4 linked regions of the Drosophila melanogaster genome follow. The protein of the gene in region 3 interacts with the protein of the main gene of each other region in a pairwise test. Each region holds a gene or a part of one and is shown on either strand. Other genes may lie near its edges.

Region 1 (7,968 bases), on a different chromosome or scaffold from region 3:
GATCTTTTCGTTGGATCCGCTGGGAATTTTGTGTTGTTATTTTTTCTTGATAAATAGTGAGAGATATATAGAGAAAATGTGGCTGGTTTGCTGGAGGTTAAAACCCTATAGTTCAGAAAGAAAAGGTATTAACAAGTATTACAAAAAAAAATAAAACTGGTACTGCAATAATTTGTTTTAATATAATTCGGAATTCTGTATACCTTCAAAATGCAAGTGCCACAGTGTGTTCGTGTCTTTTAGTGAGTGAGAAATGCAAATGGTTGTCCTAACTTTCAATGCTCTTGCATAGTTAATTATTTTCAATTTCCAGCCTCCTTAGCCTCCAATTAATAAGTATTTGAGCTTTAACAATTGTCAATGATTTCCTGTTCGGCTTAGTTCTCCATCTCATAGATTATATAAACAAATTTAACATTATATGCTCGTTACATTCGAATCGATTTGGATTTTGCTAGCTGCAAATACTGCGATCATACATCGTTAATATATCAATTGTTTACTTGTAGATTGCAATTAACGTTTCATTCGCATTCGCCATGAATGTATATTTTCATTATAGGTGTATAATTAGGCTATAAATATTATATTCCTCGAAAGATTTCATTCTTTCTTATGCTTCCATCTTCTTTTGTTTTGTCAAAATTTTGAATTCCAAACAAATGGGCAATTGGAACTATAAAAATTTAAAAGTGAGGCTAATCTCTGACTCTGCTTCTGGCTAAAATTGTCCCTGGCTAAATTCTAAATTAGTGAAATCATCCTAAACAGGGGATAATTTAGTGTTAGACTATATGGGCTATAGGCTATAGCTTCATTTCTTTCGCCTAGATCGCTAGATTGGGTTATCATCTCTATGAGGTTGCATCTACTCCACATGCAACTAGTACATTTGTCCTGCTTACAGACTATGTTCATAAGATATATGTAGAGTCGCGTGTGTGCTCCCTTTCGATCCGGCATGGATCGAAATGCATTCTTTTCAATATTTGACTTTTTTTTTTGACGAGGGCTATCCTAGACCGAAACGCTAAAACAAACGCATAACAAATGCACTGATCAAACTTGAAATTATTTGAGATTTTAAGGTTTGGCTCGCTTTCAACGGCTCGCCTCACTAGCAACGCTTTACAATTTTGGTTTCCCTCCGTGTTTTTTGTTCTTTTTTTTTTTGGTTTGGGCTTTTGTTGTTGTTTTGGTATACGTATCCAATAATCCTTAGGCCTTGAACAGCTGCGGAAATTCGTTCGCTATTTCCCGCACCAGCTGCTGATCGGAGGCACTGCACTCGGTCTCCTCGCAGAAGATGCGCGTGAAGATCTTCATGAGATCATGCTTGCGATGCTGGTGCTCCTGATAGTTCGTATTGCGCAGGATGCGTCGGCAAAGCTCCAAGTAGCATGGTCGCGTCTGAAACCAAATTAAAGTGTACTTAGTAGGGAGCACTATAGTTGCATTGACTTTTGGCGGACTCACCGTACTGCCGGCATCCAAATCGGATAGCTGGCGAACCACTATATCGATAAGCACCTTGATGTCATTCGTGTAGAACATGCCCGCCGTATCCGGATGGCTGAATATGTCGATAAACATTCGCAGCACCGTGTTCATATGCTCGTTGGGATGCTTGAGCAAGCGTGTGGGATCATCTGGTTAGAATTCAAGAAGAAATCGATCCAATTTACATGCTTATGTTTTGTAGTTAATTAAAAAGTATGCTTAAAATTGAAAACTTACCCTCTCGATTGAGCAAAAGTAGCAACTTCTCCGTAAACACTTTGGCGGATGGCAGATTCTGCATACCTTCGATGATGACATTATAGGTATGTTCGCTAAATTGCTGATTGAAGGCCAAGATCAAGGCAATGACCATGTCCACCAAGACCTCCGGATTATTGCCCTCGACGATTTCCAGTAGGAAGCTGGCAAAATGTACGCCCAAATAATCTATAATAGACATCAAAGTATAAGCATGCAACTATTGGTTAATAAGTTAAGATAGCTTTTACCCTGATGATTAACCGGCATGGGCTGTCCAAGTGAGAAGATAATAGTGAGCATCTTGACCAGCTGCTTGAAGCGATCCAGATTGGAGAAGTGCGTCTTCATGTCCTCGACCTGAAAGTTAAGTATGTTAAGTTCTAAACTTAGAAAACCATTAGGTGGCACAATCTGAGCTCCTGCTTACAATCTCCAATGGCAGCACCGAGGTCAGCAATATGTCCACAATGATATAGTCCAGATGGCAAGCGGCCGTAAAGGTCTTAAGCAGCAGTCGCTTGATGGACCAGCGCGTCTCCATCTGATAGTACTGCACCAGATTGATAAACATCTGGTACTGATCGCAGGACATCTCGTAGCAACTGATGCTCTCATCAGCATTGATCTGTAAGGAGTGATATAAGTTTAAGATTTAAAGTTACAAAAAAAAAACTAGTTCCTACCAAAATCTCAACAAGCTCCTCAAGGAACTGAATGATGTCCTCCTCATCCTCGTAGAGCATCCAAGTGCGTTGCTCCGTATCGTTCTTGCAGTCCGCCAGCTGGGCAAAGAGATACTGCAAGCGCTTGGCGTCGTGCGTAATGCCCAGCAGCTCCTTGGGCGTGGCCACTTTGCCAGTGACATGAACGGCCACCGCCTCCAGGTACGGATTGATGGCACCGTTGTACAGCTGCTCCAGGCTGGTCAGCACCACGCGCAATGCTTCACAGGAGAGATCGAAGCTGAGGTTGGTGTTCCGCCGCAGGGCGTCCACAATCTGATATACATCCGATGACTCAACCTTCAACTGGCCTCCTCCTGTGGCACCCTCCTCGATTCTGCCCAGGCTCAGGCCGCGCTGTCGATGCGACGGACTGTCGATGCTGTCCAGCGCCTGGCTATTATCCGCACTATCTCCGTTGGCCGGGCAACCGTCGTCACTTTGCACGGCGCTGGCATCATCCGACTTGTCCGGCGCACTGTCCGCTTCCTCCTGCTGCAGCTCCTGATGCAGGGCTGTGGCACTACCGTTGGCCTTGCCGTTGCCGCCGTTGCTGCGCAAAGCTGAGGCCGAGGCAGATGCGGAAATGGACGCCGAGGCAGTGCTCCCATTTTGCGGCTTATGCTGCTGGCTGGTGCTCATTTGGCTGGTCTCCTTGTATGTGGTGACCACATCTTCGCTGGTCGTCGTAGTGGTCGTTGTCGTCTCCGAGGGCTCCGACGTAATGCTATTGTCCTGCGCGACATCACCGCCGGTGGCCGCTTTGCTCGTTGATGCCGCAGTGGGTGTGGCCGATGCTGCCGATGGCGAGGGAGCTGGTGCTGGCGGTGCTGGGAGCGGCTGTTGCTGCTGCGGCGTCTGGATGGTGCAGCTGCTGCCCTGGAACTGCATGCTGCCCATGCTGGGCGATTCGATCATGCCCTGATTCTGGGGCAGGCCGCACGATGAGCCCACCGCTGGACTTGACATGCTCTTCTTGCTCATGTCCAAACGCTGGGAGCCAACGCTGCCGCCGCTGGGCGGCGGACTGTGCTGCCTGTGCTGGGAATGAAGCTGCGTCTGGGATTGGGTGGGATGGGGATGCGAGTGCCGGTGGCTACCCTTGTCACTGTAGCTGTGTGAATAGGAAAGCGAGGAGTCACCGTCGCGCTCGGAACTCTCCTGCAAGATAGGAGGGGAGATAGGTCATCAATAACATTCATTTGGCCATACGAGTAGTTAGAATCTACCCACCGCATACAGACGCTCCATGGTGTGCTTCTTCTCGCGCAGCCTGTCCAGCAGTTCGTCCTTGGACATGATGCCATTGATCTCATGGTCCGTGCACTTCTCCAGCGATTCTATCGAGGAGTTCAGAAAGCTGATGAGAAAGTCGTGCTCCACCTGTCAAAATTTGCATATGTTTAGTAATCCTTTTAGCCACTAGTGAGCGATGTACTCCACCTTAATCTTCATTACGTAATTGGAGGGCACAAAGCCAATGTTGCCTTTCATGCTGACAACCTGCCACCAATTGCGCTGGCGGGCGGACGTCTGGTAAAGGATGAAGTACTCGCCCTCATCGAAGCTGATGGTCTTCGGATAGACCGCCTGGAAGTCGTACAGAGCCTTGAGCATCTCGATGCCGATGCCTAAACCGATGTCGTTGCCACCTCCTCCACTGGGAACACTTGCTCCTCCACCAGGGCCACCTCCTGCCGCTGCCTCTGCTAAAATAAAAAGAATTAAATCGAAACGGATTGATTTTAAGTGATTTTCAAAGCTGGAAAATTTGAAAAACTTTAAGGGCGTCGACACTCACACAAGCACACGGGGAAAAACTGCAGCAGGCGCTAAAAAAAAAAGTTAAGTTCACTGCCGAGGGCCAAACTGCGGACTGACGGCACTGGCTACACTCTTATTGATGCTCCAAAATGTTTTTTCGTGCCACTAAACTGGACTGCAGCGAACTGCTGAGTTCCGCAGGATTCGCACGGAGCCGTCAAAGAGGATACTCCTCGTGCTGGTGGAATTTTTAATGGAGCACCCCCACACAGGAAGAGGAAAATGCAATTTTCATATTTCACTTGCGCTCGCTCACTCGCTCGCTCTTCCTGCCTTTCCCGTTTCTGCTTTGTGCGCTGCTTTTAGGTCCTGCAACAACGCCTTGCGCTTTTGATCCTTTTCAGCTTACATTGTTTTCCCCACAAACACAAACACGCCAGAGAGAGCCACGTGGCTTCTGCGCTCTCTACGCTCCACGCTACACTGAAAAAAGCACAAAGTGCATTCAATTTATACACTATTTTGAACAGTTTAGAGAGAAAGGTACGTGTTCAAGTCCAACTTCTGTCCTAAGAACTTTTACATATATTTAAAAACAAATTTAGATTTTTTTTAAATTTAAATTTTCTTTGGGTGCCTATTTTATTGCTTTGTGTGAAAATCTCAACACGAGCAAATCCGTTTCAAAACACAGCGCCCCCTCCACTGCCCCGCCCACTCGTGCTTTCTCTCTCCACGCGCGCGCATTTCCCTCTCTCTCTCTCTCTCTATCTTTCTCTCACACTTTTTTCTCGCAGGATATCCGTGCAAGAGTGAACCGGTTCATAAATAAGCCAGTGAATAGCGGTACAAATAACAGTAATATTTGTGGCCCACATTTGTGGTTTTAATATAATGCATGCATTAAATCTTCACAAATATCTTTATGTATATTAATTTTTAATAAAGCTACAATACTAATGGACGTTTTCAAAGTTAGGCTTTTCGCACTTTTTCAAATATTTTGCGGTTAATAAAACCTAAAATGAACTAGATCATTTGCTTTAAGTACTTCAAAATCAACTACTTTTCAAAATTTACTATAAACAAGTGTTGTGTAGTTACAAATTACAAAGGATAGTAATAGATGTACAGGACTGTTCTAAAGAAAACCTTGTATTTCCTATAGGACTGCCCCAAAAGAAATCTTATTGGACATCCAATAGGACCGAAGGCCCCTCTGTCGCCGATGATTCACCTGGTGAATGCTCTCGAATGCAAAGTGATTTTCGGAACTGCAGGGCTGCTGTACTCACTCACGCACACAAGGACACGCGGTGAATGGGTGTAATGTATGGAAATGCGACAATGGGCACAACACAAAAAGGATGCAATGAGAATGTGCCCCGCTCACTTACCCATGTTGTTGGGCGCACCTTTTACCGTAATTGCGTTTGTCGGTTGCTGTTGTTGTAGTCGCTATTGCTGCTGTTGTCTTCTTCCTGTTGTTTCCTGTCTCAGACGTCAGCTATCCTTCGTCCTGCGCCCTCCCGCACATCCGCTGTTGGCGTCCAGGAGCCAAGGACGTTTGCATATGTGTGTGTGTGTGTGTGGATGTGTGTGCTTTATGTTGCCTTCCGACGATGGGCGTGTTTGCTGCTCCTCTCTTTTGTGCTTTCGATGTCCTTTTGAAGGCGACACAGCTAGTTCCGCTGCTCCATCACTTGTTGTTGTTCCCTTTGGCCGCAGCACGCGAATGAGAAGCTCACTTGATTAATTCCAATGATGCGAGATGCGAAATGCAATGGGCGATGCGAGAAGGGTGATGCTGCTCCTCTCCTGGCAAAATGCGATGCACTTGTTTTATGTCTCTTTTGCTCTCCTGTCTATTTGTCTGTCGCCGGGGAGGGGCGATGGTCGGAAAGGGAATTCTTGTGGGGGGCGGTGATCACTCGATAAGGCGAAACTTTAGCAACAAGAAGTGTTGCAATTGTATTAACATTTTCTTGAATGTTAACAGTTTAAAAACCGCACTCACTCTTTGGCAATTGTTTAGTTTTCAAAATTTATTTAAATAAATACTTGTTATGCGCTTTAAAGAGAGAGCACTGTATCTAAAAAGTATGAGCGACAAATTGTTGTTGCACAGATATACATATGTGTTTACAACAACAACAATAACAAACTATTCCACACCCAAAAAAAAGCCGCAAGCTAACACACACGCGCACAAGGGTTAACGGCGTTTAGAGTTTGTTTATATATTGTTTTAAACAAGCCACGAATAACACTAACCAAAATTTGAGCACATCCAAGTGGCGTTAACTAAGTTTTCACCATTTTACCAAACAAAGACAGCGGGATCAACAAACAAAAATTATCCAATCACTTGTTTTTATTTCCTATTTGCTCTTCTCCTTTTAATGTAGAGGTGGGGCATGCCGGCCTGTTATCGTTATCGATATCAGATATATGTGGGCTGCCAACTTGGCGCTAGAATTTAAATGTTGAAAAAAAGCTCGATCTCTTTCGGTTTTCAGGAAAACGTTTCTTTATTTGCATATAATATTTAACTCGTTTGTGGGGGACAGTACGTGTAGTGATTTATATAAAAATACTGATTTTAAGGGCAAGCTAATTCTTGGGATGCGTTATAAAAATGTTTATTTAAATGCTAGCAAGTTTTTTTTTCTGGTTAAACGTTTTGCCTGTGGCACACATATGTAGTATATATATTGTTTTTATTTTTTCATTTTGATTAGTTATAACCGCAATTTGCTATTTTAGACTACAATTCACAGGGGAAACCCCTTTGTAATAACGTTCACTAGGCGTAAATAGTTTATAAGTACAGTTTTTGTTTGATTCAGAAGGCATCATATAAAAAGTTCCTAAGTCCTGGACGACCCAATTCGATTAAGTTTAAAGATTCAACAATATTTTCCGTTTATTTGCTTGCTTGTGGTCACAATAAATCATAATCGTATCATAATGGGGAAACAATCACATACACAATAAATTATAATAGCACAGTGTTGTTTTTTTCGTTATATGTGTACTTATCATATCTAGTTTAATAACAGCAGGCCACTTTTAAACAAATGTGTATTTGCGTGTGTATGTGTGTGTGTGTGTGTAAATATATCTATTAAAAAAAATAAACAACTTTTCATTGTACTTGCATTTATAAGAATAGGAATAGTATAATAAATATATATGATATAAACGAAAACAAACAGAAATACACTTTTAACCTTGCCTCGTTTTGAACTATATGTATTCATATTTTTGTAGGTCTCGTGGAACGGCACTTAGTTGAGATTTATGTTGCCGTTGTAGTTCTTGACGCTGGTATATAGTTGGTTTAGCATTTAGCTCTCTATATAACTATGGCAAATCGGCTGCGATCGACGGTTCGAGGAACTCGAAGTTCCATCGAAACGATGACGAGAGCATGGTGACTTCCTGGAGGATATCGTGGCTGGCGGAGGATCCTACGGCACGTGGATCCTCATGTGCCCCATAACCATTCCTTAATCCATCCTCTCCTTCTCCGTCGCCTCCTCCTTCCTGGTCTGCTTGACTTTCATTTCCAAAAGGTCACGCACGGCCGCAAAACATTTGTCCACAATTAGGATCTTGGTGCACGCTAATTGTTAATCCGTTTGAAATTATGCTATTAAAAATAATATTGATAAATGTTGCTCCGTATCCGTAACGTATCCATTCCGTTTCGTTTTGC
Region 2 (3,754 bases), 1.9 Mb from region 3:
AATTGAAAATTCATACATGCGCGTACACAACACACACGAAATATTTATAAAGTCAGACACAAGCCCCAAAGACCCCAAGAGGTTGCTTCCAGCAAGGAGTACGAGCCGGGCCCGCTGAGGCCACAGTAAAATTTAATTTTAATGCATAAGCAAATTGAATTTAAGCAACAGGAAAATTGTTCGTCTGGCCACAAAGGTGCCGCATGTGGAAGCAAAAACCACTTGCCAGGGAAACGAAAAGGCGGACTAAAACCACGTCGAGTGTTTCATGCTGAAAGTTTTCACCTGAAGAAGGCGAGGCGAAAATTCCTTAAACCAACCACAATTACCGAAATGGGGTGCCTTCATCAAACATTTTTAAGAGCAGGACATGCTTGAAAAATTCTCGGTCTCCGAATTAGGCAAAGGAAAAACTAGCACACCGCAAAAATATAATTGAAATAATTGGGGGCGTATTAAAAAGTGTTCGAAAATAGTTAGACCGCAGAGAAGTGTAAATTGTATTTTTTGAAGAGAAATACACGATTTTTTTTATGCAGTGACCCCAAATATTTTTATTTCATTTAAAGTAGCTGTACTACTTCTGGCTTATCATCCATACGAATTCCTCGTAGTTGATCATGCCATCCCCATCAAAATCAGCCTCGCGAATCATCTCATCGATCTCCTCGTCGGTGACCTTTTCGCCCAGATTGATCATCACAAAGCGAAGCTCAGCTGGTGATATAAAGCCATCGCCATCACGATCAAAAATCTTGAATGCCTCACGCATTTCCTCCTCAGTGTCAGTTTCCCGCATTTGCTTGGCCATTATACCGCAGAACTCAGTGAAGTTCAGTTGGCCATTGTTGTTGTTCTCGGCCTCAGCTATCAAATCTTGCAACTCGGCCTCCGTTGGATTCTGGCCCAAGGTGCGCATCAATGTGCCCAGCTCACGGGTGGCGATCTTGCCGGTTCCCTCCTTGTCGAACTGGACAAAGGCATCCTTGAACTCGGCAATCTGCTCCTCCGTTAGTTCGGACATCTTGATAAATTTTCAAAGATTTTCGGTATTTATCGAGATATTTTTAAATGCTTGCAGAGCTATAGACTGTTGGAATTTACGAAAGGGAATGAGCCGAAACTGTTTTGATGATACTGATACTGACAGGTCGGGTTCCCAACCCCTAAAGCCTGCTTTTTCCTTATGTAGTGGACATCATTCTGACAAATCGCACATAGTCTATATTGCCTTCCAAATCAGAATTTGCATCACGGATGATCTCCTCCACCTCATCATCCGTCAATTGCTCCCCCATGTTCTGCATTATGTGACGAAATTCCGATTCAGATATTAAGCCGGTTCCTTCTTTGTCAAAGACTCTGAATGCAGCTATAATTTCATCCTCGGTAGACATGTTTGCGTACCTCTGAGACATGATGTGAAGGAAATCGCTGAGATATAACTCACCGGATCCATCAGCATCGATCTCGGCCTGAATTTCCTGCAATTCCATATCACTGGGATAGTGGGCCACAGACAGCATTAGTTGCCTGAGATTTGTTATAGGAATAACCTTAGTGTCTTGGTCGTCAAACAGGGAAAAGGCAATCTCCAAATCCTTGACCTGTTCTTCGGTCAGATTGTGGGTGCGAATGGTCCGTTCCTCTGGCGGCGGAGTAAGGAATTCGAAATCCATGGCCAAAGGAAGGGGTTGGGGGTGGGAAAATTTTGGGGTCACTGAACACTCACTACAAATTTTCGACAAACTTTAGTTCACAACTTCATATTTATAATTTAATAACAAGAAAAGCCTACTCTTGTTATCATTTTATCTATTGTATATTGGCTTTTTTTTTTTTTTAAAGAATAGTCCAAACTGGTGGTATCCGATATTTCAAGATCTTCGATTCCATTGGCCATGCTTTTGAAATTTATTGATTAGATCTACAATCGGTTATGTTTTTTATTTTTCAAAGAGAGTGTTACGTCTCCATCATCATGGTCACAAAGCGAACGTAGTCGATTTTCAGTTCCGTGTTGGCGTCGGCATCACGTATCATTTCCTCGATCTCGTCCTCTTCCATTTCATCGCCATATTCAGTCATTATCTGACGGAACTCATTCTCGTGTATAAAGCCAGATCCATCTTTGTCGAAGACTTTGAAAGCGAGGATAACTTCATCTTCGACGGTCAAATTCTCGTACCGTTTCGACATGATGTATAGGAAATCACTGAGATAAAGCTCGCCGGATCCATCCGTATCAATTTCGGTTATATAATCCTGTATCTCGTTTTCCGGCGGGTTGTGGGCCACGGCTCGCAGGCAATCTCTCAATAACTTGATCGGAATGACCTTGGCATTATCGTCGTCGAAGAGGGCGAAGGCCGCCTCACAATCCTTGAGCTGTTCATCATTCAGCGTGTGGGTATGAACTGTTCGTACCTCCGGAGGTGGACTACTGAAATCAAAGTCATCCATGGCAAATTGTAAGTATACCTTGGGCTAAAATTTGGATTTCCCGAAAAGATGAATTTTAAAATTTAGTTTTTCGAAAATAGTTGTGTTTAAATATTGTCTTTTCATTGACAGTTTTCCATTTAGACTGAAATTGTGGAAAATTCAAGGCATTGACAACAAAAGATTACTAGTTAGTTTTTTAAAATTTTTTTTTTGTTAGTTGCCCCACGCTCTTTTCTGACATGGTTCTTAAACTCATTTTCAGTAAGATAAATTTGTGAAATGGAAAAAACTACAACTGCTCCGTGATGCAGTAACACCGCAGTAAAATATAGCAGGATTTAACAATTAAATTTGCAACAATTTTCCGAATAATGTTTTCATAGCCTCTGGCTACCGCTTCGAGCAATGTGGCTGTTGAAAAGCATGGGTAATTACATTTTTAATTAAATGCGTCGCAGTTTGTTCTGTTTTTATATTATTTTTATTTTTGTTGGTGCATTTATACAACTGTTCAGTATTTTTTCTGCTCAGCCATTTGCTGCCATCGTTGGTCTCTTGGGTCATAAAATGTTTTTTGTGTTTGTATTTTTTTTTTTTTTATTGAGCATTACGGGCAAATAGGGAAATTATCCAATGCAAAATTTCGAGCAATTTGCATAATTTGGGAGCGGAGAAGGCGAGAACCAAACTGCACAAACCCATGTCCCTGGCCATCAACCTTTCTCACACGTGCTCCTCCCAGTGGAGCGAACAATGGGGGCTTCTTGGTAATGAGAAGCAAATCCTGGCCACGAAGGACACAAAGGATTTAGGATTGGGGCCAAAGTTGAGCCACACAACAAGGCACTGTCAAGCATTTCTCTGCATAGATTAGAGAGGACTTTTCGGGCCAGAGATGCGGGATTATATATTTGTATGGAAAACAATAGTTCCAAGTATTACTTAGCAGGTAATATATTAATTAGGGCTACTAACTAAATAAATAAAAGTTGTTTGCGTTAAAGGAGAGTAAAAACAATTTGCTTAAAATAATTGGCAGATTTGTAGATCTCCCAACTAATAAATTCTATTCTGATGACCACATGTGTATATGTTTATACGATTGTCTGGTAAATGCAGCTCAGAATATGTTTGTTGTTTGACTTTAATCAGGCATAAACAGGACGATATAGCAACAGCCGAGCCGCAATCGAAATGGCAACAGACCTTTGGGGGATTTGGATAATTTGCATTTCTGTAGTGGGACAGGACACACATGCAAAGGGTTTTCATGTGCAAATCCCTTTATGCCAGTTTTGGAACCACAACT
Region 3 (6,068 bases):
TTTGATGCTGGACTTTCTAGTCAGATCCCAAAACTCCAGCGAGTGGTGAATGTGGCGCGCCAGACTCTTCGAAAATTATACAGTCAATTAGGCAATCTTAAACTTTGTGTTCTTATAGAGCTTGGGGTGTGGGTCCACTCACCTTCAGCATGTACTCCGGTGTCTCCGGCACGCCCACCATTTCCAATTGCGAGGGCATGACCATGAGCTGGTAGGGCAGCAGCGGCATCCGAATCAGGTGATATCCGTAGTCCTCCCACCAGGTGCCCAGCCAGTTCCTCATGCCGGCCGCCCGCTTCTTGAGCTGTTCGTGCAGCTGGGCTCCCACTCCGTTTTGGAACTCATCAATAGTCTTGCGGGCCTGGGCCAACTCCTCCTTGGTCCCGAATGGCTGGATGCAGCTGTAGTAGCGCTCCATGGTGTCCCTAAGCTCCGGCAGCGGGAGCGAAGGTAAGGTCTCGTCGAAGTCGAAGGTGTTCTTATCATCCTTGCTCATAAAATATAGACTAGCCCGGTCCATGGTGGTTTAGCTGCGGGGGACACGTTGGAATCGTTGATATCAGTCTGCGCGTGTGGTGGTTTTCTATAGGCCTAAGTCAGATTAGTACAATAATCATATCGGGAATCGCTTTTACGTTCGTCAGGTCCAAAGTTCACCCAATACATTACTGAGTACATTCACATCGGAAATAAATTGATCTCATCTTATAGGTTAAACATTAAAATGGTGTGCAAATTAATACCACACAACTAAGAACACTTAATGTGCAACTAAGCGGATTATGCGTCAAGTTGAACGTAATCTTTCTTGGACTGCAGCTAGACGACTATCTTCACTAATCTCCTCAAGCTGGACAAAGTCCGGATTGGGGAGCTTTATAAATATTTATACTCCCGGCGCACTGGTGAAATCATAGGCGAATTTCTAGCCCACTGACCTTTGTACTCGATGGGGAATTCACTTTTGCCGGAGACAACTGAAGCGCCAGACTGCCGTTATACGACTGAATCCATAGGTTGGTTCCATATCACAGCAAACCTTGCCGGAGGGGGAGCACTTGAATTATCGCACCGTGGGATCCGCCACCCGCGTCCACTGACTCAGTGCGATAATATATCACCCTAATCATTGCTATTGCAGACAGTCGGCCACCGATAATGGCCGGTTTCATTTGAATTTCTATATGAATTTCTTTTTTAATAACATATTCCAGCAGACACACCCACACAAACCTTCGATGAGGCGGCAGTTGAATGTCGCGCCCGAACTTCAGTTTGCGATGCACTCGATCGAAATTAAAACGGTTCCGCAGCTATCAAGTTCATTAGGCTAGATAAGCAAACAATTTTATAGGTTAAACAATTATTTTTATTATTATACTGCTGCGTTTTTGTTTACAAGCGGCGAAGACCCTATAGGAAATTGGCACAGCAAACAGCTGTTTGCAGGAGTTGCCAGACTTTTTACACCATTTGTTTATACCGTTAGTCACCACATTCTTATTACGTACATCTTATTCTTATTAACATCGCATAGCATTGTACATCGTACCGCAAGATATAATCCTCCCGGATTGATGCAATCAACTGCCATAAACGTACATTGTAACCGTTAACAAAATGCGAATATTGTTTACAATTATTAATTAAATAGGTCATTCAATGTTTTGTAAATATTTAAAACTTATTTAAATTTATTTAATTTAATTCCTTAGCATCCATTCATAGCATCCATGCTGACGCCTATCTGGCAACGCCGCCAGCAGCTGAAACAGCTGACATCTGTCGAAATGAGTGAAAGAGACAGGCAGAAAGAATAGAAAGAAATTTGGGACGCTTGTTTTCTCAAGCGGCTTTATTAAATTTCTAATCCCAGCAAGAGGTGGAAATGCTGCCATCCACGGGTCTCTTTAAGGGCTTCTTGTGCCCTTACTTTGACGGCCAGGATGCGGCGTCCTGCAAGCGCCCCTTTTGCCACTTTAAGCATGCTCGCAAAGGTGAGTGAATTACGTCCAGTTAATTTCGCAACAAATTCTATCCACTCTCGGTTTACAGACGAATTGGAGGCCGCTCCACCTGCAGAACCTTCCCCCGTGCCCAAGTACAAGCCGGCACCCAAGTTGCTCTCCCTTCCACTGCCCCAGATCACGCTATGTGCGCCCCGGAAGAAGTCCAATCTGGAGTACCACCCGGAGAAGCCGGCTCTTGACGCATCGCCGGCTAAGAAGAAGCAGGAGGCGTCCGTGGACAGTGCTCCCAAATATGTGCCCGGCCAGCCATCTGTTACAAATGGCGAAGAATATGACGATTGGCAGGCGGTACTCGAAAAGGAAATTGATGAGCAGATGCAGGTGGAGATTGAGGAGCAAGTCCAGAATAACGACGAAGAACAGAAGATAGATACGGTAGCTGAAAACGAGGAGGACCAGGAGAATACGCAACTGACGGATGCTAGGGATAGCCACGAAAAGGATCGAAAGCCCAGCAAGGAGCGGGAAAGGGATATAGAAAAGAAGAAGATCAGAGAGCTGAAAAGGGAAAAGATCAAAGACAGGGATCGGGACCGGGACCGGGACCGGGAAAAAGACAAAGAGAAGAGCAAGGAAAGGGACAGAGAGAAGGAAAAAAATGATAGGGATAAGCGAAAGTCCTCCCACAGCGACAAGGAGCGCTCCAAGGAGCGAAATACTTCAAGCTCAAGTTCCTCTAAGCACAAGTCTTCATCTAGCTCCTCTTCCAGCAAAAAGTCATCCAGCAGCGATAAGCACCGCGACGACAAAAGTTCCAGTAGCAGGCACAAGAGCAGTTCTTCATCATCCTCCTCGAAGAGCCATCATCACAAATCTAGTTCCTCGAGTTCACGGTCCAAAACTAAGAGGAGCTCGTCTTCCAGCAAAAGCGCTGGCACTTCAAAGAGCGAACCGGAGGCGGATAAGGATACTGAAGCAGCTGTACTGACACCAGCAGAACCTATGGATGATCTGGATGACATGGACTTTGATTTTGAAGCAGACACCTCGGAAGGAGAAATTGTACGCCAGTGTGAAATGATTTTTGACGAGATGGAAAAAAAATTTGCGCAGATGCACAAGGACGAAGGCGGCAATGCCAACCCGGAGAGTTCTCGCAAGCGCAAAGCTCCTTCTCCGGACATTGATACCTTCACCGAGGCAGCCACGGCGGCTCTGCAGAAGCGCCGGGTGGCCCACGAGAATGCTGACAAGATCACGCCTCATTTGGCTCCTTCGGCGGCGATGCGCAAACCCAATCACGTCCGTAATGCCATGCAGGCGATCTTCAACCGCCGCGCGGAGCTGCGGCGCCAGGAGAAGCTACAAGCCGAAGCCTCAGCGGAGCAGGTACGTCAGGCACAGGAGCGGGTGCGCCAAGCGCAGGAGGAGCTCCGTCAGGCCAAGGTCAACTCCAACCTCACGCCACTTATTTCGCGAAGTGCTCTGACCCCACCAGTGCGATCAGGTGAGCATACCACTTTGGAATATATAATAATTCAAATTCAAATATTTTTGGTTACCAGCTCGCAGCATAGCACCTGTGGCCAACATTGTGGCCATCGCTCGGGCCAAAAAAAAGATCGAGGAGCTGCAGGCCGAGAAGAAGCCAGCCTTTACGCCTGCACAATCATTCAAGGGCGCCGGCCGTGTGGCTCACAAGCCCACTGCTGCGCTAGACAAAGCGGCTCCTGTGTCCAACGCGGAGAAGCCAACCGTCCTAGATCCCAGCAGCTCCAAGATATCATACAACGTGCGCATTCAGTATTATGAGATGATGGTAAGGCACTGCACCGTCATCTATCCGCAGCTGGCAGATGCCTGGGAGCGCGCCCAGGTGGAGGAGTTGACCGTCTTTAAGAAGTGCAACACGCCTGCCATCTACAAGAACAGCTGCATGCTGGCGATTAACAAGCTCCGCAAGGAGGCCTTAGAGGCGGGAAACAAGCCGAGCGTAGCCTGCAAGACTGTGTCGCACGAGATGATGCTGGGCGGCAAGCGGGCGCTCACCACATCCTGGAGCGTAGAGAAAAAGGGGTGGGTTTGTATACTAAACTATAGTTATTCTCTATGTGCACATTATAAGATGAAATTCGCTTAATTGTAAATACTGCCACTGGCCACAAGCATAAACGTAAACATAAGCATAATTTCTCTTTATGACTTCACATTTCTTCCTGGAAGTCATGAATGTTAACTTTTATGACATTTGTACGTATTTCTAACATTTCAATTGCATATAAAAAGTTTTTGATATCTTTACCCTAACAAACATTAAATATATATCTATTGCAGAAAACTGAGCTCCTTGGGCAATGGCGAACCTTTCGATGCTTTAGACGCCGAGAAAGCTTACAAAATGGTATTCGATCTTCGCCTGACTGAAGAGCAGCTGGTGGAGAACGGATATCCGCGTCCGGGCGATAAGCGCGGATCCGCAGTGATACGCGCCTGCCGCCCCAACCGTCGTCCCAACCAGAAAGAGCGCTACTGTTCCCGCTGCGGCAAGGTATTCAGCTTGGACATATACGAGCACCAGAGCTTTGACATGTGCAACTACCATCCGAAAAGCACGGGATATCGACGAGGATTCACGGACCACCAGCATCGCTGCTGCCAGCAGCCGGCGGGCACTCCAGGCTGCACCTATGCCAACTACCACGTCAGCGACTATTACGATCCGGAAAAGCTCACCTGTTTCGTGAAGACGATCGAACGGGGTGAGGAATTTGTGCCCACTAAGAAGGACATATATGCACTGGATTGCGAGATGTGTTATACCACACACGGAATAGAGCTAACCCGCGTTACGGTGGTGGACATAAATGGACGCAGCGTTTACGATGCTCTTGTCAAGCCGGACAACCAGATTGTGGACTACAATACGACGTGGGTGAATGTAGCTTTTCGGTTGTTTCGTATTAATCTGCAATACTCTGACTTCAGCTACTCGGGCATCACGGAGGCGATGCTCTCCAATGAGACGCGTACCATACGCGACGTTCAGGCGGTGCTGATGTCCATGTTCCATGCCAAAACCGTGCTCGTTGGCCACAGTCTGGAGAGCGATTTGAAGGCACTCAAACTCATTCACGACGTTGTGGTGGACACATCGGTGCTGTTTCCCCACAAGATGGGACCGCCAAAGAAGCGAGCTCTGAAAACACTGTGCATTGAAAACCTAAAGCGGATTATACAGGAGAGCGGTGAGTGTGTCTAGTCTTTTACTTTATCACTTGACGTAAGAAGTTTATTATAATTATTATATTTCCTTCTTCCACAGAGGCTGGCCACGACAGTGCCGAGGATGCTGAGGTGTGCATTCAGCTCATCAAGTATTATCTGCGCAACAAAATCAGTTGAGCTGCTATCACGCACCATCGCAAGCATTCAGTTCAAAAGCATTACGTACATCTGTTAATATGTATATCATGCCCATCAAAAATCAAAGCCTTAGCCTTTAAGCTAACCATATTATGTAAAATCAAACTGTATAAATATATCACCAAGCGATGACAGCGAAAAATAAGTAAAGCTTGCTTTAAATGCCAATTTAAAGTGATTGAAGTGTGGCACATGGAACTTAAAGAACGCTGTACAGTACGCTACGGATTTGGCGAGTCCTTTGAAGAATTTCTTACCTCGAGCCTTCAACCAGGTATATTTGTTCATTTTTCTCTATTTTTGCCTTGCCCATTTTTCCTTGCGTTTTTTCCATTCTCTTCACTATCGATAACAATTCAATGAAAAGCAATTGGAAAGTTTTGTAAAGTTTTTTACCTGCCACCGCGTTACAAACTGTAATTGCAAGTTTCGTGCCTGACGCACATCACAGAATATTCGCCGCTGCCCTCGTCCCGCCCCCAGGTTGGCCGCCTTGTTTTTGTTGTTATTATTTAAATGTAATTTTAATCAGATTGCGGCGATACTTTATATTTTTCAATTATACTCGGCCTCGTCTGCTGGCCGTGGGCACCATCTGGATATTGGCTTCTGGTTGCTCCTCACTGGCGCATGATTTTTCAATTTTAACGTTTTATAATTTTCCGTTCTGTGCGT
Region 4 (4,982 bases), on a different chromosome or scaffold from region 3:
ACGCTATCGTCATCGAAAGGATTGAGGATCGCGCTGGTAGGGTTCGCCCTCATTTCCGCGTACTCCTCTGCGCGGCGCATTCTTAATGAAAACGTGCGGCATCTTTAATGAATGACCAAAGGGAACTGGAATAGGTAGCCCAGACATCCGTCACGGTTGCGACAACTACATGGCGATCCATTCGATTCACTTGTCTATCCGCCAGATACATTTCTCCATTAGCCAACGCTCAGCCCTCCGGAGTCCCCTCCATTTTCATTTCCATCTCCGACTATTTTATTGAGTTCCCTAGTCTGTTGATTTTTCTCATTTACTACCGACGGTTGTACTGTTGTACCAGACCCTTAACTAATGGCCATCGTTGGCCGCGAGCTGTTTGTCTTTCAGCGCCATAGAATGCCCAACTTTTTGACCGTTCCCAGCCCCCTAGATAAAGTCGGTCCATTGACACGCGGCGATGACTTGGAACCGACTAAAAAGCGAGCTGCGATCCACGAAAAAACACAGACTGCCGATGCAAGAGGCGCGTGATCTCAAAAAAATCACGGAAAAGCTATAAATAGTTGGTGTTTCGAGTCTCGCAATATACAACTTTGAAACAACCCAGCAAACTTTCATTGAATCGCATTTTACTGTATTTACTATATAAATTAGCAATGAAATCAATGCAATAATACACGGATAATTAAAAGATATTTTTAGGTACATTTTTTCTATTTTATCTTCGATAATAAAATATAATGTTCGAAATGTAAAGTAAAAAATACAAGTGATATAGCATTTTAAAGTGTGATTCTCTCCAATGTGGATGCAAAATTTCAGTTGGTCATGTGTGGTCACGCACCGCCCCAAAAATCCAGCAACTCCGCCCCGGGGTAACTTGTATTTTGGCCACATACACAAATTGACGCACCAGAGTCAAATGTTTACAACTCGAAATTCAGCTGAAAATTTTACCAAAAAAAAAAAGTGTTGGATCGGCAAACCCGTTTTGGAGTGCAAACAGACCCCGTGGAAAAAATACAAAGTTTTAATTGGTTGGACAAACAAAACTCAAAACGAGCGTCTAAACAAATCAAAGCCACTCTGCGGCGAACAACGAACAACGTACTGTGAATCCAGACCTCAGACACACCGAAAAAAACAACTCAGATTTACATTTTAATCTCAGATTATCCTAGTTTAAGGGTTTTTGTTAGTGAATATCTTGATCTTTTGTATTGCATCTATTTGATATCAACCACTTATTAAACTATTTACATATGGACTCCAAGTAGTAACTCAAAAACCATGATTATGTACAGTAGGCATTTAATGAAAGAAGTTTCAATAACAACGGATGGGATATAAAGATAAAAGATTCCTTCAACTTCCAATCTACGGCTGAGACAAGGATTCCTTTGACAAATTCAGAGCGTCTATAATAAAGATCACAAAAGATAAGAGACTTTTTCTCTCTGTGCAACAAATGTGAGCAACTGAAACACGTTACACTTAATTTTTGGCGCATGCAAATTGAACGATTAGCCACGGGGGTTACAGCAGGGGTATATAAATCCCGCCTAGGACTCCAATTCTGGGCCTTCTGAGAGTTAAAGGTGTGCTCGCCCTGAACGATCCGACCCACCTGAGAGTTCGATGTTATGGGGGCTCTCTACCTGTTGCCGGGTTCTCGATGGCGATGGCCGCAAATTGACCAGCCGGGTGAGCGAGCGAGAGGCGAAATACCGCCGCTGTCTTACCTGTTAGAGGGTGTGGCCTAACCATCCGTCAGCCAGCCGATCATCGATCGGGCCAAAACGAGATGGCTATAGGACCGGTAGAGAGCTAGCACGCTAGCCGGCCATCATATCATCCATGGGCCAAAACAAGAAAACAACAACGATGCCACGATGTCGATCGGCTGGCCAAAGACGAGAGATGAGAAATAGAGGAACCGAAAGCGCGGCTTGTGATGGTTGAAAAAATTAGCACCGATCGTTGATCATTAGCTCGGGAACGGTGGCAACGCAAACACACGATCGGCGGCAGCGCTAAACTCCAATCTCGAATCTCGACTCGAATCAAATATCTTGAAATCTTTGAAAACAAATTTCACGCGGCTGTATCTTCCCACTTGAATCTGAACTCATACGATAGTGATCCTTGATAAAGTGAACCCTCTAGGGAATTAGTGCTATAAAAGTGCGTGATTTGGCAGTGTTGCGTATTCAACTAAAATCTAAATCTAAACCTAAACCATCTTCATAAGGAGTTTACCACTGGATTATATCGAGAGCGCCGAGTTTCGGCGTGAAGCAGGTTACCAAATTGGTAAGTTAGTTGCACTTTATCTCAATTTTGGTTTCAAAATTTTAAGTTTAAACTTCATAAGAAAGAAACTTAAACGAAAATTCGAAGTTTATTTTAAGAAACGCTTGTATTCCTTTTTAAAACATCTTTATTTTCGAACAGAAGTGTTAAACACTTCGTTTTAAATGCTAATAACAGCTATTAAACATTGCGAAACGTTGACTAATCTTTTTACTATTCAAAAAAGAAAAATCAGACATTTTTACGATGGAAGTAGACTTATGCGTCGGCAAAGGATATGTTGTACTTTTAAATATATATTTGGAAATAATTAACTTTTTGAGAAGAAAATGTAAAAAATGAAGTAGAATTGTGGCAGACAAACACTGACCCCAAAACATATGGCTCCCAAAAAAATCATAAAGTCACTTCTCCGATTCAAAAGTTTGGGTGCCATAAAGTGCGAGTGTTTATTCCTCCGTGTGACATATGACCATAAACGTAATCAAATAGCAAATTGGCAAACCTATTTAAACGAACGTGTGAAAATCAAATGCCGAAGCCAAACAAAATCACCAAACAGACATATTTTGACACTTGGCCAAAAAAAGAAGAAAAAAGTCAAGACGAAGTGTTGGCGGCTCGCCCGAAATCCAACGGGCAAGTGACAAAATCCCCCATTAACGATCCTAATAATACCTCTAATGACATAAAACAGCAGCCGAGAAAGGGGCGGGAGTGGCCGTGGGCGTGGCCGACGTTCACACGCAAATTAGTGGGGACATAAGAATTTTCAGACATGCGTCTGGGTATTGCCAAAAAAAAAACATCAAGTTGGATCGATCTGAGGCGTCCAATTACGACGCATGTGAAAATTATCCTATTAAATGCAAATCAAAGAGGCCCATAAACAGACCCGAAGGAACCCCCCTCACCCCTCCGCAACGCCCACGCAGATCGTTTAGTACTTGACAAATGCTTACTAATTAATTACAGTTTGTACAAAATTTTAGTACGCCGCTCATAAAAGTGCGCCTACCACTGTGCCGTGGAGTGCTGAAAACAAAAGTGTGACAATCGGTGTTTAAAGAAACGCCCACAAATCGCCAAAAAAAATATATCGAAAATATCCTGAAAGGTCACCAAGTTCTCAATGGAGCGACCTCTGACATTGTCCTCCGGAAACATTATTGATTGCATTAGAATCGAGCCAATTCACGGCTATTTCCATTTCAGTTCGCCCACGCAGTATCTAAATTTAAATTCGGTTTATTTTCACGCGAAGTGGTGTGTGAAATTTAGCAGATTCGGTTTAATCGCCTCCAACTGGCTACCAGTGACTTGTCGTCATCCATGCCACCCGCCAGCATCCTGAGCAGGTGCGAAATATTGTCCTTTTCAACAAAGTGCGAATGGGAGTGGGATAAGTCGATCGGAGTAGCGAATAAACAAACAGAGCATTTATTATTGCACGTGTTCGATTACCTGAGAGGAGGGCAATTGTGGTTATTGCTTTGAATTATATAATAGATACACTGGTTTTTATATTTTATAGAAAATCGATAGGTTAGCAACATCATCTCTAACTAATTTTAATACATTTAATATTTTAGCATTTATTGAATTTCATGTTTAACTACAAATGCAGCGCGGAATCAGTTAAAGTTGAACTATAATAATATTATTATAATTATTATAATATAATGAACTATTATAATAAAATGCTGCAAATTTAACATGATTTTTAGTGACTTTAGTGATAATCGTTTAAGAACCATTAGAGTGCGCTGGCACTCCTTCCTTTAAAAGTTAAAGCTGAACCCATCGAAATGTATCTATGAGATTCGCCGAATGTGTTTCCATCGGCGACCATTAGTGCGTACCTGTACATTGAGTACGTAAGCGCCATATTACCAAAGGTTCGCTTCGATTTGGAATAGCGCGCACATTTCATACGAAAAAAATAGGAGGAAAAAACCCCCTCAAAGCGTCTGAGTAAATATCAAAGTCACGAAATGATTCAAAAATCAACAGAGCCAACAACAAAGCGGCTGGCCCGAGATGGGGAAAGAGTCCAATGCAAACCCCAAGCCCCAAGCCCGAAAACCCGTCATGGCTGCCATCAAAAGTCAAAGTATATGCCACATATATACACATGGGCAAACAGTCACACACGCTTCCTCCGCTGAGGAGACAACACACAAAAACAGCTTTTCATTAAGCTTAGTGATGGAGCCGGAGCTGGGACACCGCGTCTTAAAATCGTGGTGCTGGAGTGGCGCGGTGGTGCGGATCGATGTGGAACACAAACACGGCCATGAGACGAGCCATGTGGCGGGGAGCCATGTGGGGGAACCAGCGTCATGAAGAGTGAATTTTTATGATGTCGTCGATGTCGCCTATTGGGCACATGAGAAAAACCCGCCAAGTATCGCGTGAAAATTATGATAATGCGGAGCGAGCACGAGCTGGGAAAATCGGAAACCTTTGAACATTCATAAACTGAATATAACTTTCGAATGCTGGCCCAAAGTGGTTGAACTTTTAAACTCGGCCGATTGAATTCGAATTGAAACTTTTAATTGGGCCCAGCTTCTGGTTGAAATGGTACGGACATTCGGGCAATAAGATGTCCCTGGTTAGTTGACAAGTATGTTATATTAAAGTTGGTATCCACTTTTAGAAGTTAA

Evidence for each region.
Region 1: the proteins of CG12877 (region 3) and CG2258 interact in a two-hybrid assay, tested with the Drosophila melanogaster proteins (one large-scale study listed by BioGRID).
Region 2: the proteins of CG12877 (region 3) and Acam interact in a two-hybrid assay, tested with the Drosophila melanogaster proteins (one large-scale study listed by BioGRID).
Region 4: the proteins of CG12877 (region 3) and byn interact in a two-hybrid assay, tested with the Drosophila melanogaster proteins (one large-scale study listed by BioGRID).

The regions. Positions count from the first base shown.
Region 1 is NC_004354.4:8,095,425-8,103,392, forward strand, and holds the start of CG2258 (uncharacterized protein), read right to left. Parts: upstream 6,031-7,968; 5' UTR 5,645-6,030; intron 4,648-5,644; exon of another isoform or gene 4,285-4,647; intron 4,193-4,284; 5' UTR 4,101-4,192; coding exon 3,927-4,100; intron 3,867-3,926; coding exon 3,717-3,866; intron 3,645-3,716; coding exon 2,445-3,644; intron 2,387-2,444; coding exon 2,189-2,386; intron 2,119-2,188; coding exon 2,010-2,118; intron 1,948-2,009; coding exon 1,738-1,947; intron 1,650-1,737; coding exon 1,477-1,649; intron 1,411-1,476; coding exon 1,219-1,410; 3' UTR 1-1,218.
Region 2 is NT_033777.3:25,809,914-25,813,667, reverse strand, and holds Acam (androcam), read right to left. Parts: upstream 1,758-3,754; 5' UTR 1,680-1,757; coding exon of another isoform or gene 1,185-1,679; 5' UTR 1,025-1,184; coding exon 578-1,024; 3' UTR 534-577; downstream 1-533. Other genes in the region: CG17770 (uncharacterized protein), read right to left, coding at 1,185-1,679; CG5024 (uncharacterized protein), read right to left, coding at 1,966-2,463. UniProt on the Drosophila melanogaster protein: May be involved in calcium-mediated signal transduction.
Region 3 is NT_033777.3:27,705,322-27,711,389, forward strand, and holds CG12877 (uncharacterized protein), read left to right. Parts: upstream 1-1,778; 5' UTR 1,779-1,888; coding exon 1,889-1,997; intron 1,998-2,055; coding exon 2,056-3,477; intron 3,478-3,535; coding exon 3,536-4,046; intron 4,047-4,304; coding exon 4,305-4,898; intron 4,899-4,955; coding exon 4,956-5,215; intron 5,216-5,292; coding exon 5,293-5,372; 3' UTR 5,373-5,536; downstream 5,537-6,068. Other genes in the region: CROT (carnitine O-octanoyltransferase), read right to left, coding at 1-66, 143-520.
Region 4 is NT_037436.4:11,925,711-11,930,692, forward strand, and holds the start of byn (brachyenteron), read left to right. Parts: upstream 1-1,982; 5' UTR 1,983-2,313; intron 2,314-4,982. UniProt on the Drosophila melanogaster protein: Required for the specification of the hindgut and anal pads.